Linked DNA regions of Macaca mulatta. The protein of the gene in region 3 interacts with the protein of the main gene of each other region in a pairwise test. Links are inferred from orthologs where the notes say so. Each region holds a gene or a part of one and is shown on either strand. Other genes may lie near its edges.

Evidence for each region. The genes of interacting proteins can lie anywhere in the genome.
Region 1: the proteins of GPS2 (region 3) and SESTD1 interact in binary tests that used the Homo sapiens proteins (3 or more experiments, as listed by UniProt). The two-hybrid records come from large-scale screens. The link is inferred for Macaca mulatta from reciprocal best matches to the Homo sapiens genes GPS2 and SESTD1.
Region 2: the proteins of GPS2 (region 3) and RALBP1 interact in binary tests that used the Homo sapiens proteins (3 or more experiments, as listed by UniProt). The two-hybrid records come from large-scale screens. The link is inferred for Macaca mulatta from reciprocal best matches to the Homo sapiens genes GPS2 and RALBP1.

What each region holds. Positions count from the first base shown.
Region 1 is NC_133417.1:84,190,213-84,194,336, reverse strand, and holds the start of SESTD1 (SEC14 domain and spectrin repeat-containing protein 1), read left to right. Parts: upstream 1-1,324; 5' UTR 1,325-1,429; exon of another isoform or gene 1,430-1,804; intron 1,805-2,278; exon of another isoform or gene 2,279-2,344; intron 2,345-4,124. UniProt on the Homo sapiens protein: May act as the primary docking protein directing membrane turnover and assembly of the transient receptor potential channels TRPC4 and TRPC5.
Region 2 is NC_133423.1:80,441,159-80,445,230, forward strand, and holds the start of RALBP1 (ralA-binding protein 1), read left to right. Parts: upstream 1-1,272; 5' UTR 1,273-1,483; intron 1,484-1,821; exon of another isoform or gene 1,822-1,997; intron 1,998-4,072. UniProt on the Homo sapiens protein: Multifunctional protein that functions as a downstream effector of RALA and RALB. As a GTPase-activating protein/GAP can inactivate CDC42 and RAC1 by stimulating their GTPase activity.
Region 3 is NC_133421.1:8,806,326-8,810,564, reverse strand, and holds GPS2 (G protein pathway suppressor 2), read left to right. Parts: upstream 1-1,439; 5' UTR 1,440-1,546; intron 1,547-1,687; 5' UTR 1,688-1,756; coding exon 1,757-1,850; intron 1,851-2,210; coding exon 2,211-2,320; intron 2,321-2,404; coding exon 2,405-2,517; intron 2,518-2,648; coding exon 2,649-2,728; intron 2,729-2,819; coding exon 2,820-2,902; intron 2,903-3,083; coding exon 3,084-3,237; intron 3,238-3,335; coding exon 3,336-3,425; intron 3,426-3,514; coding exon 3,515-3,594; intron 3,595-3,681; coding exon 3,682-3,777; intron 3,778-3,961; coding exon 3,962-4,045; 3' UTR 4,046-4,141; downstream 4,142-4,239. Other genes in the region: NEURL4 (neuralized-like protein 4), read left to right, coding at 477-681. UniProt on the Homo sapiens protein: Key regulator of inflammation, lipid metabolism and mitochondrion homeostasis that acts by inhibiting the activity of the ubiquitin-conjugating enzyme UBE2N/Ubc13, thereby inhibiting 'Lys-63'-linked ubiquitination.

The sequences.
Region 1 (4,124 bases), on a different chromosome or scaffold from region 3:
TTTCAGGTGGGGGAAAACTACAAGGGCACAAAGACAAAGCCTGTTGAATTTGTGTGATACGTAGATATGTTAGGAGTTGAAGCTGGAGCCAAGGAGGTCAAGAGATCAGATTTTAAATGGCTTTGTAAACCATGATAACAGGTTTGACTCTGATTCAACCTGGTGGAGAGACTCTGAATGATTTTAAAGAGGGACATTGCATGCTCAGCTCTGTCTTTTTGGAGCATTCTCTCTGGCAGTTATGTGGAACTGAAGCAGCAGTGAAATTAAAGACTTGACCTAAAGAGTGGCAAAGAGGTGGAAGTCATGGAGACAGACTGATATTCACAGAATTAAGAAGAATTAATCCATGGGATTTTAAGTCAGAAAACTTTAGTGGAGAGAAATTTGGTTGCTTAGTTGTTGGAATGGCAAGATTTTATCAATGGAATTAGGTGATACTCAAGTGAGTGGCTGAGTGAATAATATGGAAGTCTTGAAATTGGGACCACACAGCTGCTCTGATCTGGTGTGAATTTGCTGATGACTCTTTTGAACTGAATTCAGGAAATGACATAAAAATGATTTGCGCAATAAAATGAGAACAAGGACTCTTAAGTCAGTATATTTGGAGAAAAATAACTAGGTTGGTAAAAATGGGGAAGTAGCCATTATCAGGGAGCCCCATTTGTGGATTAATTTTGGACTGTCCAATGGAAAGATCCTCAAAGCAAAACAAATGCCCTGAATCCAGCCCTTCCTCACAGCAACCCTTTCCCTTTCATCTGCCTTCATCCTTCAGCCACACCACGCCTTGGCAGTGGGTACTTGGGAGCAGCTCTTGGAGACCTTCTACTCGAACCTTCGAACTCCAGGATGAGGCCAGAGGAAATAAACGACCTGCCAAGGTGTCAAGTAGCGGGCCCTCTCTGAAGCCCAAATTTCTGACTTCAGGTCTAGGGACCCTTCCACTTTCCCAGACTGCCTCCCGCCTGGGGAGCCTGGGCCTCGACTAGGGGTGGGGACGGCAGGGTCCGTCCGGGATCGCCAGAGTCCCGCTCGCGCCCAGCCCTCAGCCCCAGGCCCGGTTGGACGCCCCGCCCCGCCCCACCCCGCCTGCTTCCCCCTTCCCGCGCCGGGCTGGGTCGCTGTACCGCCGTCACCCGGGCGTGCGCGGGGTCGCGCGGACGCGGCTCGGGCCGCGGGTGCCGAGAGGTCGCCGGGCCACCCGCGCCCCCGCTCCCGCCTGACGCACGGAGGGGCCGGGACGCGATTTGCCGCGAGTGACTGGAGCCGCCGCCGCCGTCGCCGCTGCTGCCGCCCGGGCCCGCTCCGCCCCCAGCCCGCCTTCCTCCCGCCGCGCCCTCCGCCTCCGCCCGCACCTCGCTAGCGTTCCCCTGTCCTCCCCAACGCCCCGGAGCCGCCGGCCGCTAGCGTCAGCGCCAGCCAGGTGAGTGTGGCCGCCGCTCGGCCTGGGCGGGAGAAGCGCGCAGGCCCCGCGGCCGGGTGGCCGGTGCAGCGGTGGCGCGGCGGCGGCGGCGGCGGCGGCAGCGGGCCCGGCTTTCTTCCCCCGCGCGGGCCGCGGGGCGGAGGGGCTGCGCAGTGAAGGAGGGGAGCCCCCGCCCCGCCACCCCTCCGCTCCCAGCGCCCTGGCCGCCCCCGCCGCCGCAGACAAAGCGCCCGAGGTGGGAGCCCCGCGGGCCGCCTTTGCCTCCGCGCCGTCTGCCGGGTGCGGCCGCGGCCCGCAGAGACCGGGCCGCGCGCTTTTCCGCTCTTGAGCGCCCTTGTTCATTTCTGGGTGAAAGGGACCCGAATTGTGCAACAGGTTTGGGCGTTAATCCTTATTTTCCAGCGGGTCTCTTTTGCCAGCGTGCAGGAACCAGATGTGGCTCCCGGCTCTGGGGCGAGTCCCCACGTCCAGCGCCCGCGGCTGGCTCCTTTGTGTGACCGGTGACCGGCCCTGTCGGGTGGGTGGGGGACACGGACTCGAGGCCCCAGGGCTGTGCCGAGGCTCCTGGACGCCTCCTCAGGTCGCGGGGCTTGGCTTCCACGGGCCTGCCGGAGGTTAACATCCCTCCAGCGTTTGGGAGAGTCACAAAGGGGAGGAGAGAGCGGGTTGGCCAGGGTCCGTGGTTGTGTGTTTTTCTATTTTAGGTAGACTCATACTAGAAAAGAGCCGCAGTCTGACCAGCTCTTGAGGGTACGGGTGGCATTTCACCCTGGGATGCACGGTTTGGACTTGGCTGTTGCTCTGATATCCCCCTTGGTTTTCTTGGTGCTTTGACATCTTTCTCTCATACACAGACATCGCGGGAGAAGTTGGAAGTGCTGCCGAGGGAGTAACTAGATAGCAGCTGTTTGACAGGTCGTCTCTTGCTTCACGTTTTGCCTGTGTCAAGCATGCCCACCATGTATCCCAGCATAGCTTGGCAAACCATCAAATTTAAATTGCTACTCAAAATCCTAATCCTTATACATACCGACATACACAGACACATATATATGTGTATATTTTTTCTATTTTGGCTGGCTAAATCTTATTAATGTGAGAATTTTTCCCCCCAAGGAAGAATGCATAATAAGGTACACTTTATCTTTGTTTACATACCTTGGGTTATGCCAATACCTAGCTGGTTTCATTGGTATGCTATTTTAGTGTAACAATACTAATTCCTTTAGCTTTGAGCAGTAAAATACGTCTTTGTTCTGGGACCAGGAAGCTTTTATACGTAATACTTTGCCCCACGACTAAATACATGAAAAAATTCCCGAAGGACCTAGAAAGCATTTCACAACTCTATAGGCTGTTTTTATGTTCCAAATTCCAGGAAATCGTTTTGTTGAATATTCAAACATTCTGGACTAAATTTAACCTTAAAAATTGGGCCCACTCTAGTAAGTTCCCCAGCATTAGAAAAATGAATTGATTGCATTTACCAAACATTTTAGCCCCTGTGAGTGAGAATTGAACGGAATAATTGATGTAAGAGATTAGGAGCTAGTGATGGACTAGGAATCTGACAACAGAATGCAGAATGTAGAAAGTTGTAAGTAGAGGTCACGAAGTTGCATCTCCTTGGGTTTTAGTTGATTGCTAGGCATTTAATAACATTTTAAACAGGTAATCTAATGATGTATCTGAAAATGAAATGTCCACTAATTAAGAAAACAAAGTATTGCATTTTGACCTTTTTAAAAAAATGTGTTTTATAATGACTTGTTGAAGCTTTTCCACTCTCTAAAAATGAACTTGGTATTAATAACATTTCTTTTGAAAAAATGAAATTATACCAAACTAATCCGATTCTTAGAAAGTTTCTCTGTTATAGTAGTTTTACTTTACTAAAAATACCATTAATCTGTGTAGTAGCTGACTTCAAAGATCTTTTAAAGCTGTTACAAGCAACATGAACAACCTCTTGAGGAAAGTAGAATATTTACTAATAAAAAGTAGCAAGCAGAGAAGTGAGCCACGACTGGACCATTCCATCCTGGGTGACAGAGCCAGCCTTGTCTCAAAAGAAAAAGCAGAGACTTAAATATTTATAATCATTTTCTTTGAGATATAATTCATATGCCATAGAATTCACTTTTTTAAAGTATACAATTTGGTGGTTTTAATATATTCACAAAATTGCGCAAATGTCAACACTAACCCAAGAACATTATTATCCTAAAAAGAACCTTGTACCTAGTAGCTTTTGTTACTATTCCCCCTCCCCCATATTTGACAACCACTAATTTACTTTATGTCTCTATGGATTTGCCTATTTTGGACACTTCATGTGAATAGAATCATAATATGTGGCCTTTTGTGTCTTTCACTTAGCATTATGCTTTCAGGGTTTATTCATATTATACCGTATATCAATACTTCATACCTTTTATGGCAGAATATTATTTTGTTATATGGCTATGCCACATTTTGTTTGTCCAGTCTTCAATTGATGGGCATTTGGGTTGTTTCTACTTTTTGGCTATAATGAATAATGTTGTGGATACTCAATTACAAGTTTTTGTATGGTATATATGCTTTCAGTTTTCTTGGATGTATACCTAGATGTGTAATTGCTGGGTTATATGGTAATTCTGTTTAACTTTTTGAGGATCTACTAGACTGTTTTCCATAGCTGCTGCGCTGTTTT
Region 2 (4,072 bases), on a different chromosome or scaffold from region 3:
AAACTCTCATCCTTCTAGGGTTTCCCCTTATAGGAGGAAAACGGTTGCCACATTTCCAGGCGTCATATACTTACACCATGCTAGATAAGCAAGGAAGCTACCGTTTACTGGAAGTTCCAGCCCAAGTCTTTGTGGGTTCATTGTTTCTGACTGGGCTTGTGACCATCTCTGCTGCTAGAGGGAATGGTTACGTTGCCTGGCTTAAATGGGAGGAATAAATACTCAGGTGGCAGCCAACAAATATATTCTATATCCACACACATTGGCTCCAAATAATAAATCAATCAATCAGTGGGCCCACTTACTTAGGCTCACGTGCTCACAGCACTTAAAAAGCTGCACAAACCATGCCTCCAAATGAAACCACGGTCTACATTCTGCCAGCTCTTTCTCCCTTTCCATTTCCCCTTTCTTCTCTTTCCCACCCTCACGTTTGGCTAGGCCACTCGGTTGCAAGAAACACGTCCATCAGCAATTGCCTCAGTAGAAAACTCCCTCTGCTCCCCTCTTGCGTCCATATAGCAATTTCAGGCAAGGCCTCCATAAGGCCCAGCGTGGATCAATGCCTGTCCCTTGGCCGAATCAGTGCTGTCACAGGCAAAGAATTGTCACTGCCATGCTCACCTGCCCAACCCACTGGTCAGAGAAGACTGTTGTATTGCGAAAGGGGCCATGAGAAGGCTTTTCCGAAAGTCAAAGACCAATGGCTATGTCAGACCATGCCGTATCCACTTGTGGGAGGCCCCTAAATGAATGTAAGGCCCCAGGGGTTGAACTTTACTGGGTAGGAAGCGCAGAGTACTAGAGACAGATTTACCGCCCGCTTTGAGGAAAGCTGATGTGGGAGCAGAGAGCAAGATGGACAGCAGCTGCCAATCTAAATAGGCAACGAAGAGCCACAGAGAGTGCTGCACGTAGGAATGCCAGGGACAGGGAAGGGTCGTCTATTCCAAGTCCCACCTCTCCCCTAATAAACTGCCACATTTCAGAAAACACGAAGACTGCTGAAACCCTGTTTCCAGCCTTCGCTATGCATTAGCAGAGCAACTCAACAAGCCTGGGTGAAAGGCTTCTCGAAGAAATTCAGTTATCTCTACTGCCAGCCAAACACGGGCTGGGCTGCTCGGTAACTGCTGAGCCGGGGGCGCGCTGGAGCCCCGCAGAAGCCCACACCCGCTTCAGGAATTCCGTGGATGTTCCCGACAGAGGTTTATTCCCGCCTCTCCCTACAGGCCTACGGCGCTCCTTCCTCCAACCCCACACCCAGTCGAAGGCGGGGCAGCAGCCCCACCCAGGGGCAGGCCGGGCGGCCCCCAGGCCGGTTTAACTGGTTGGAACGACGAAAGCACGCTGGCGCAAGGAAAGTTCTCAACTTCGGGAGCTGAGGCGCAGGCTGGCCAGAGCGTGGAGAGGGAAGCTCTCTCCATCCTCTGGGCCGTTGCAGGACATGCCCACGAGACACCTTTGCCAGCACCACACCGGGGTAAGTGTCCGTCCCCGCATCCCGCAAGGCCAGCGACTGCGCAGGCGCCTGCAGAGCACTGGCGCTCGGCGCGTTCTCTCGCCTTCTTCTTTAGTCTCCTCAGCGAGCCTGGGGACGAAGGAGGCGCGGTGCCTCCTGGGTGTTGTAGTTTGCTTCCTTGGCAAAAGGCCTTCTGGCTAGTTGGATGCCGGGGCCTCGGGAACTACGCCTCCCAGCGCGACCCGCGCGAGAGCACAGGGCGCCTGCCCTTGACGGCTTCAGCCGTCTGAGCGGAGAGGAGGATCCGGGAAGCCGGCTGCGGCGGGAGGAGGGAATGCGCGTGCGCGCTGGACCGGCTCGTCCTGTTCCGTCCCAATCATTGTAAACAGGCGGAGGCTGGGCGGGGTGGGAATGGGGCGCCCGAGGCCGGCCTGGGGCGCAGCGCAGGAGGCGGCTCCGGTGGCTGCGGCGGCAGAGTGAGCGCGAGGAGGCGGAGGCTGCGGCGGGGCGGGCGGTCGCGCGGCGGCAGGCACAGGTCAGTCCCAGGGAGCGGTCGCGTGCGAGGGTCGCGGCGATGCCCCTGGAGTGCCCGAGGAGCCCTCTCCCGCGCCGGCCTCGCGCCTGCGTCTGTCAGGCAGCGTGTGGGGCTCGGTGCTCGCAGCCCTCGGGTTTGAAGTTGGGGGCGGGGGGCGTGGCTGCCCCCTCGTCGGTTTCTCCCGGGAAACCTTCGCCCCAGTTTTCGCCCCCCTGGCCGTGCGTCCCTCCCACTGGCCGACGGGCCTCCCTTCGTGGCGTCCGCGTTTGTGGTGCTCTCGGGGGCCAGGCGTGGAGAGTTAGGAGTCCCCAGGCCTCGGGGAAGCTCTTGGGGGGCGCCTGGACAGAGGTGAGGGGATCCAGCCCTCACGGTTGGATCGTGCCCGGCATAGTAGCCAGGCTCCGGGGCTTACCCAGGGGACCAGGACAGGCTCCTGGTGTCGCCCGCCGCTGGCACTGAGCAGTGGGCGCCTTTGGTGCTGCGGTCCTTCCTTCAGGTTTCCGTGGGAATGGACGGACAGATCTGGATGGAGTTGAGATTTCTTTTCACAACTCATGTTCAACTATGTGTGTTGCCAAAATGCTCTTAATTGAGGTCAGTTTTCTCCCTCTTTTTAAAAACCTGATCGTTGTGAGAGTGAAACAGGTTTTACGGAATATTTCACACCTGCGTCTTCCCTGAAGTAATTCTGCTGCTTCAACTTTTGGGATTCAGTATTACAAAGCCTTCCTCTTGAGCAAGGCCTAGTACAGTTCTTCAAGGTCCCTAGCATGTTAGTTCGAGGTGTTTTGAACGTGCATGTACAGGAAGTGCAGCCGTTTGGCCGTTGAGTTAGTGCACCATCCAGCCTTGTTAGAAAAGCTTTCGCTGAATTTTTTATTTAGTGGAGTGGTCGTGTCCTAAGGCTGCAGTACTTTGGGGAGTATTCCATCATACTTGGCAGTTATTCACGAAATACTGAATATGTGATAAGGTTTGTTTTGGTGCTCGGCACTTCTAAATGAATAAGTGGGACTGTGAGTAAGAAAGATCACCTCACTTTCTGTTTTTAGAGTTATTTTGGTGATTTGATAACTCCTTTCTGTCTTTGTGAAGGTAATTACTGTTAAGCTGGAGTGGCAGTAGTAGGGGTAGGAAGGTCAGTAGAGTGGTTCCCACTTCTCATTCAAAGTATCTGGTGGATCCAAGTGGAGTAGATTAGTTAACAGTAGCATTGTTTTTTATTTCTTATTTTTTGAGACGGAGTTTCGCTCTTGTTACCCAGGTTGGAGTGCAATGGCATGATCTCAGCTCATCACAACCTCCGCCTCCCAGGTTCAAACGATTCTGCAGCCTCAGCCTCCCGAGGGGATTACAGGCATGCACCATCACGCCTGGCTAATTTTATATTTTTAGTAGAGACAGATTTTCTCCATGTTGATCAGGCTGGTCTTGAACTCCCGACCTCAGGTGATCTGCCCGCCTAGGCCTCCCAAAGCGCTGGGATTACAGGCGTGCGCCACCGCAGCCGCCCAACAGTAGCTTTTGAGAAGTAACTCTTTTTTTTTTTTTTTTTTTTTTTTTGAGACGGAGTCTCGCTGTGTCACCCAGGCTGGAGTGCAGTGGCCTGATCTCGGCTCACTGCAAGCTCCGCCTCCCGGGTTCACGCCATTCTCCCGCCTCAGCCTCCCAAGTAGCTGAGACTACAGGCGCCCGCCACCACGCCCGGCTAGTTTTTTGTATTTTTAGTAGAGACGGGGTTTCACCATGTTAGCCAGGATAGTCTCGATCTCCTGACCTCGTGATCCACCCGCCTCGGCCTCCCAAAGTGCTGGGATTAGAGGCTTGAGCCACCGCGCCCGGCGGAGAAGTAACTCTTTAAACAAGGTATCTCGAAACAATGTAATACAATGTAATACAACTTAGTTTGCTATCTCTTCAAAATATTGTTTCTAATTATAGATCTTATTGGGACTATTTCTCCCCTAATTTAGAATAGGAAAGTGTTATCAGAAAGTGCATAATAACCTTAATTTGCACAGTTATATTTGCATAGTTGTTTGCTTGGCAAGAAGAGATCGGGCCCAGAATTAACC
Region 3 (4,239 bases):
AAAGAGGGGGGCGAAGGAGACAGCAGTGTGGCTGGTGTGGGCATCGTAGGAAAGAGTGGGGCGAAGGAGACAGCAGTGTGGTTGGTGTGGGCATCGTAGGAAAGAGTGGGGCGAAGGAGACAGCAGTGTGGCTGGTGTGGGCATCGTAGGAAAGAGGGGGGCGAAGGAGACAGCAGTGTGGCTGGTGTGGGCATCGTAGGAAAGAGGGGGGCGAAGGAGACAGCAGTGTGGCTGGTGTGGGCATCGTAAGAAGGTGGGAGAGATTCGAGCAAAGGCTTGAAGAAGGAAGTGAAGGGTGTAGCTGAGCAGGCTTTGGGAGGAAGAACATTTCAGGTAGAAAGAACAGCTAGAGTGAAGCTCCTATAAGGCGGGAGTATTTCCTAGGTACAGCAAGGCTTGTGTGGTTGGAACAGACTTTGCAAGGGGGAGGTGATGGGGAGAGAAGCTTCACTCCCTTATTTTTTCCTGTTTGACAGATTCCGGGACCCCAAATCCCAGCGGACGCACCAGGCTCAGGTGGCGTTCCAGGTGTGTGTGCGCCCTGGCTCCTACACCCCGGGACCCCCTTCCGCTGCCCTTGGAGAACCTCCTGACCCTCACTTCAGTCCAGCCGAACTTGAGTGGGTCACTAAGGAGAAGGGGGCCACACTCCTCTATGCCCTGCTGGTACGGGTGGAATGAGGGGTGACACACAAATACTACAAGCACAGTCGGGCCTCGGGCCCATGGACTCTGGCGACTGCCTCCACCTCATTCCCGTGACTCGTGGCATGCGCAGGTGCTGGAGCTTGGCAGCCGCGCAGGAGCATGTAGGCAGGCTCTCAGATGTAGGTGGCAAGTGGCACAGCTCCATGTCTGGAGGCCCAGCACTCCGTCTGATGGGAGGAGCCGTGGGAGCCCAGCTCCAGGCCCTGGTACCCCTCTTCATGCACTGATTTGGGGAACATGACTCCCTTTTACTCCCCTTCCCCACATCACTTAATTTATTTCCGTTTTTGTTTCTGGTTACTGTGAATCCCAGAGGAGTCTCTCCCTGTGCCCACATGAAGCTGCTTTTTCCGGGGCCACCGGGCAGGAGTGGGGAAGGGTGGGCGCACGGAAGATGGGGGCCTCTGTACAGTTGTTACTGACTCTGATTTCTAAGGAGCCAATAAACACCGTCTCAGAGCCTCCGCCTCGGCCTCTCTCTCGCGCGCCCCTCCCCGGAGCCCGCGTCCCCTGGGGTGCCACCAGGTGGGCCCGCGAAATTAAAGAGAGCTGAGGATGCCAAGACCAGTTTACAGCCCTCGTCGCCCGCGTTCCCGGCTACGGGGTTTGGACGCCGCGGGCACCCGTCGCAGCGCGCTTCCGCTTTCTTTCACCCAACCCGTGAGGTCGGCCGCAGCCGTGACTCCGGAAGGACTTGGCCGGGCCGCCGGATGTGACGTACGGGCCAGGGCGCGCCGGAGCTGCTGAGAAAGCGCAGAGAAGGCGGGTAGGGAGGGCTGGCGTCCGGGCTGGCTGGGCAGGGAGCGGCAGCACCGAGTCGGGGATCCCGGCGCCGCCCGTGCGCGCGGTGGAGCGGGGGCTGCGGGCCCGGCCGGGTGGCGGGCTCCTGGGACACGTGACCGGGGCGGCTAGCGGGTCGGGCGGACGGGCTTCCGCCTGGGCCGGGCGCGGTCCCCTCTGAGCGCCCGCCTCCCCGCAGGCGCCGTCTGAGGTCTGGCAGTCAGAGACAGAGCCGGGCGCCCACGGCCCGAGCGCCCACGGCAGCACCATGCCCGCACTCCTGGAGCGCCCCAAGCTTTCCAACGCCATGGCCAGGGCGCTGCACCGGCACATTATGATGGAGCGGGAGCGCAAGCGGCAGGGTGAGCCGGGGCCATAGCGGGGGGACACACGGCCCAGAATGGCTCCTGTACCTCAGGGTTGGCCTCAACCCAGCGGCCAACCAGTGAGCCCGCTGCCGAGCGCAGAGGAGGGAAGGAATAGCCCCGTTGTGGTGGGATTTAAGCGTCCTGGTCCACGCTCCAGAACCCTTGAGACGGGAAGGACCTTGGAGAGCACCTGATAAAGCCTCTCCGTTCCCTATTGCAGCGATGGGGGAGCTTGTCCCCTCGAGGCAAAGAGCGCACAGGCGTGTTGGGATGACTGGGTTTTGCTGGTCTTCAATCTAACGTTGGAACTGTTTTCACTACCCTGCCTCTTCTTCATTCTGCCTGATTCTCCAGAGGAAGAAGAGGTGGATAAGATGATGGAACAGAAGATGAAGGAAGAACAGGAGAGAAGGAAGAAAAAGGAGATGGAAGAGAGAATGTCACTAGAGGAGACCAAGGAACAAGTAAGCAGTCCCTTGAACTCTCCCAGCTTTGATTTCTTCCCTTGACTCTCCCTGCCTTCATCTTCTCTTCCCACTCCCTCCCAGATTCTGAAGTTGGAGGAGAAGCTTTTGGCCCTACAGGAAGAGAAGCATCAGCTTTTCCTGCAGCTCAAGAAAGTTTTACATGAGGAAGAAAAACGGAGGCGAAAGGAACAGAGGTGGGATCAGAGTGCTAAAAACTGAAATGGGGGCCAAGTGGAACTGGGATCAAGTAATAAAAGAACTAGTGTTTAATGGCGAAAGAGAAGGCATCTGTCCTTAGCTTTGACCTGCCTTCCTCTCACTCCAGTGACCTGACCACCCTGACATCAGCTGCATACCAGCAGAGCCTGACTGTCCACACAGGAACTCATCTCCTCAGCATGCAGGGTGAGGACTAAAGAGACCACCTGATGGAACCGGCCTTCTTACAGGTTGCAGCCTCCCATTTCAGCATCATGAAGCCCTTCTCCCTTTCTAGGGAGCCCTGGAGGACACAATCGCCCAGGCACCCTCATGGCAGCTGACAGAGCCAAACAAATGTTTGGACCCCAAGTGCTTACGGTGAGAGTAGGATTGGATGCCCAGCCCCTACTGCTTCCATCCATGCATCCTTGCCACCAGTATTCAAGTCACAAACATATCAAGCACTTAAGTTTAGGGGGAAATGCGGCATACAGATATACACAAGTCACTGGGTTTCAGCTTTCAAGTTTATAGGCGAATTCTCATTCTCCCTCCTTAGACCCGGCACTATGTGGGCTCAGCAGCTGCTTTTGCGGGGACACCAGAGCATGGACAATTCCAAGGCAGTCCTGGTGGTGCCTATGGGACTGCTCAGCCCCCACCTCACTATGGGCCCACACAGCCAGCTTATAGTCCTAGTCAGCAGCTCAGAGGTGAGTAATAGGAGGGATGGGGCTTGGCCTTCCTCAACGTCAAAGGAGGAATGCCATTGAGTAAAAGGTTTTAATGGCTCTGTCTTTTCCTTTCTCAGCTCCTTCAGCATTCCCTACAGTGCAGTACCTATCTCAGCCACAGCCACAGCCCTATGCCGTGCACGGCCACTTTCAGCCCACTCAGACAGGTGATAACATCCCATGCAGGAGCTCTAGCTCTCTGGGTCCTCCCCTCCCTGTTTCATTCTCATCTCACATGCCCCTCTTCCCCACGTAGGTTTCCTCCAGCCTGGTGGTGCCCTGTCCTTGCAAAAGCAGATGGAACATGCTAACCAGCAGACTGGCTTCTCCGACTCAGTGAGTATGGCACCTTGGGAGGTCAGGGTTAGGGATATGTTAAGGGGAGCTTCAGTATGCCTCAGGCCCTGACTCTGTTCTCTGCAGTCCTCTCTGCGCCCCATGCACCCCCAGGCTCTGCATCCAGCCCCTGGACTCCTTGCTTCCCCACAGCTCCCTGTGCAGATGCAACCAGCAGGAAAGGTAAGAATGATAATAAAGTTTACCTGTCAGAATCCTTACACTAGGGATCCAGAAAAGCAGGATTAGGTAGGACCGGTGGCCCACATCACCTGGTTTTTCTTCCTCTCTGGGGGTGGTTACCAGTAGGGCATTAAGTGGGAGAGTACGCCCAGTGACAAAGCCCTCTTTTCATCACCACCGCCAGTCGGGCTTTGCAGCTACCAGCCAACCTGGCCCTCGGCTCCCCTTCATCCAACACAGCCAGAACCCGCGATTCTACCACAAGTGACGATCAGATTATATCTTCAACATCATGCCCCCTGCCCCACTGTGGGTGAGGATACCCCCCGTGTGTCCCAGGCCAATAAAATCTACCTGCCACTGACCCTGGCTGCTGCTGTTTGTGTTGCCTCCCACCCAACTGTCTGGAATAGGTCAAGGCTGCTTGGGGGGTGGGGGGATGACTGGCAGGTCCACAGCAAG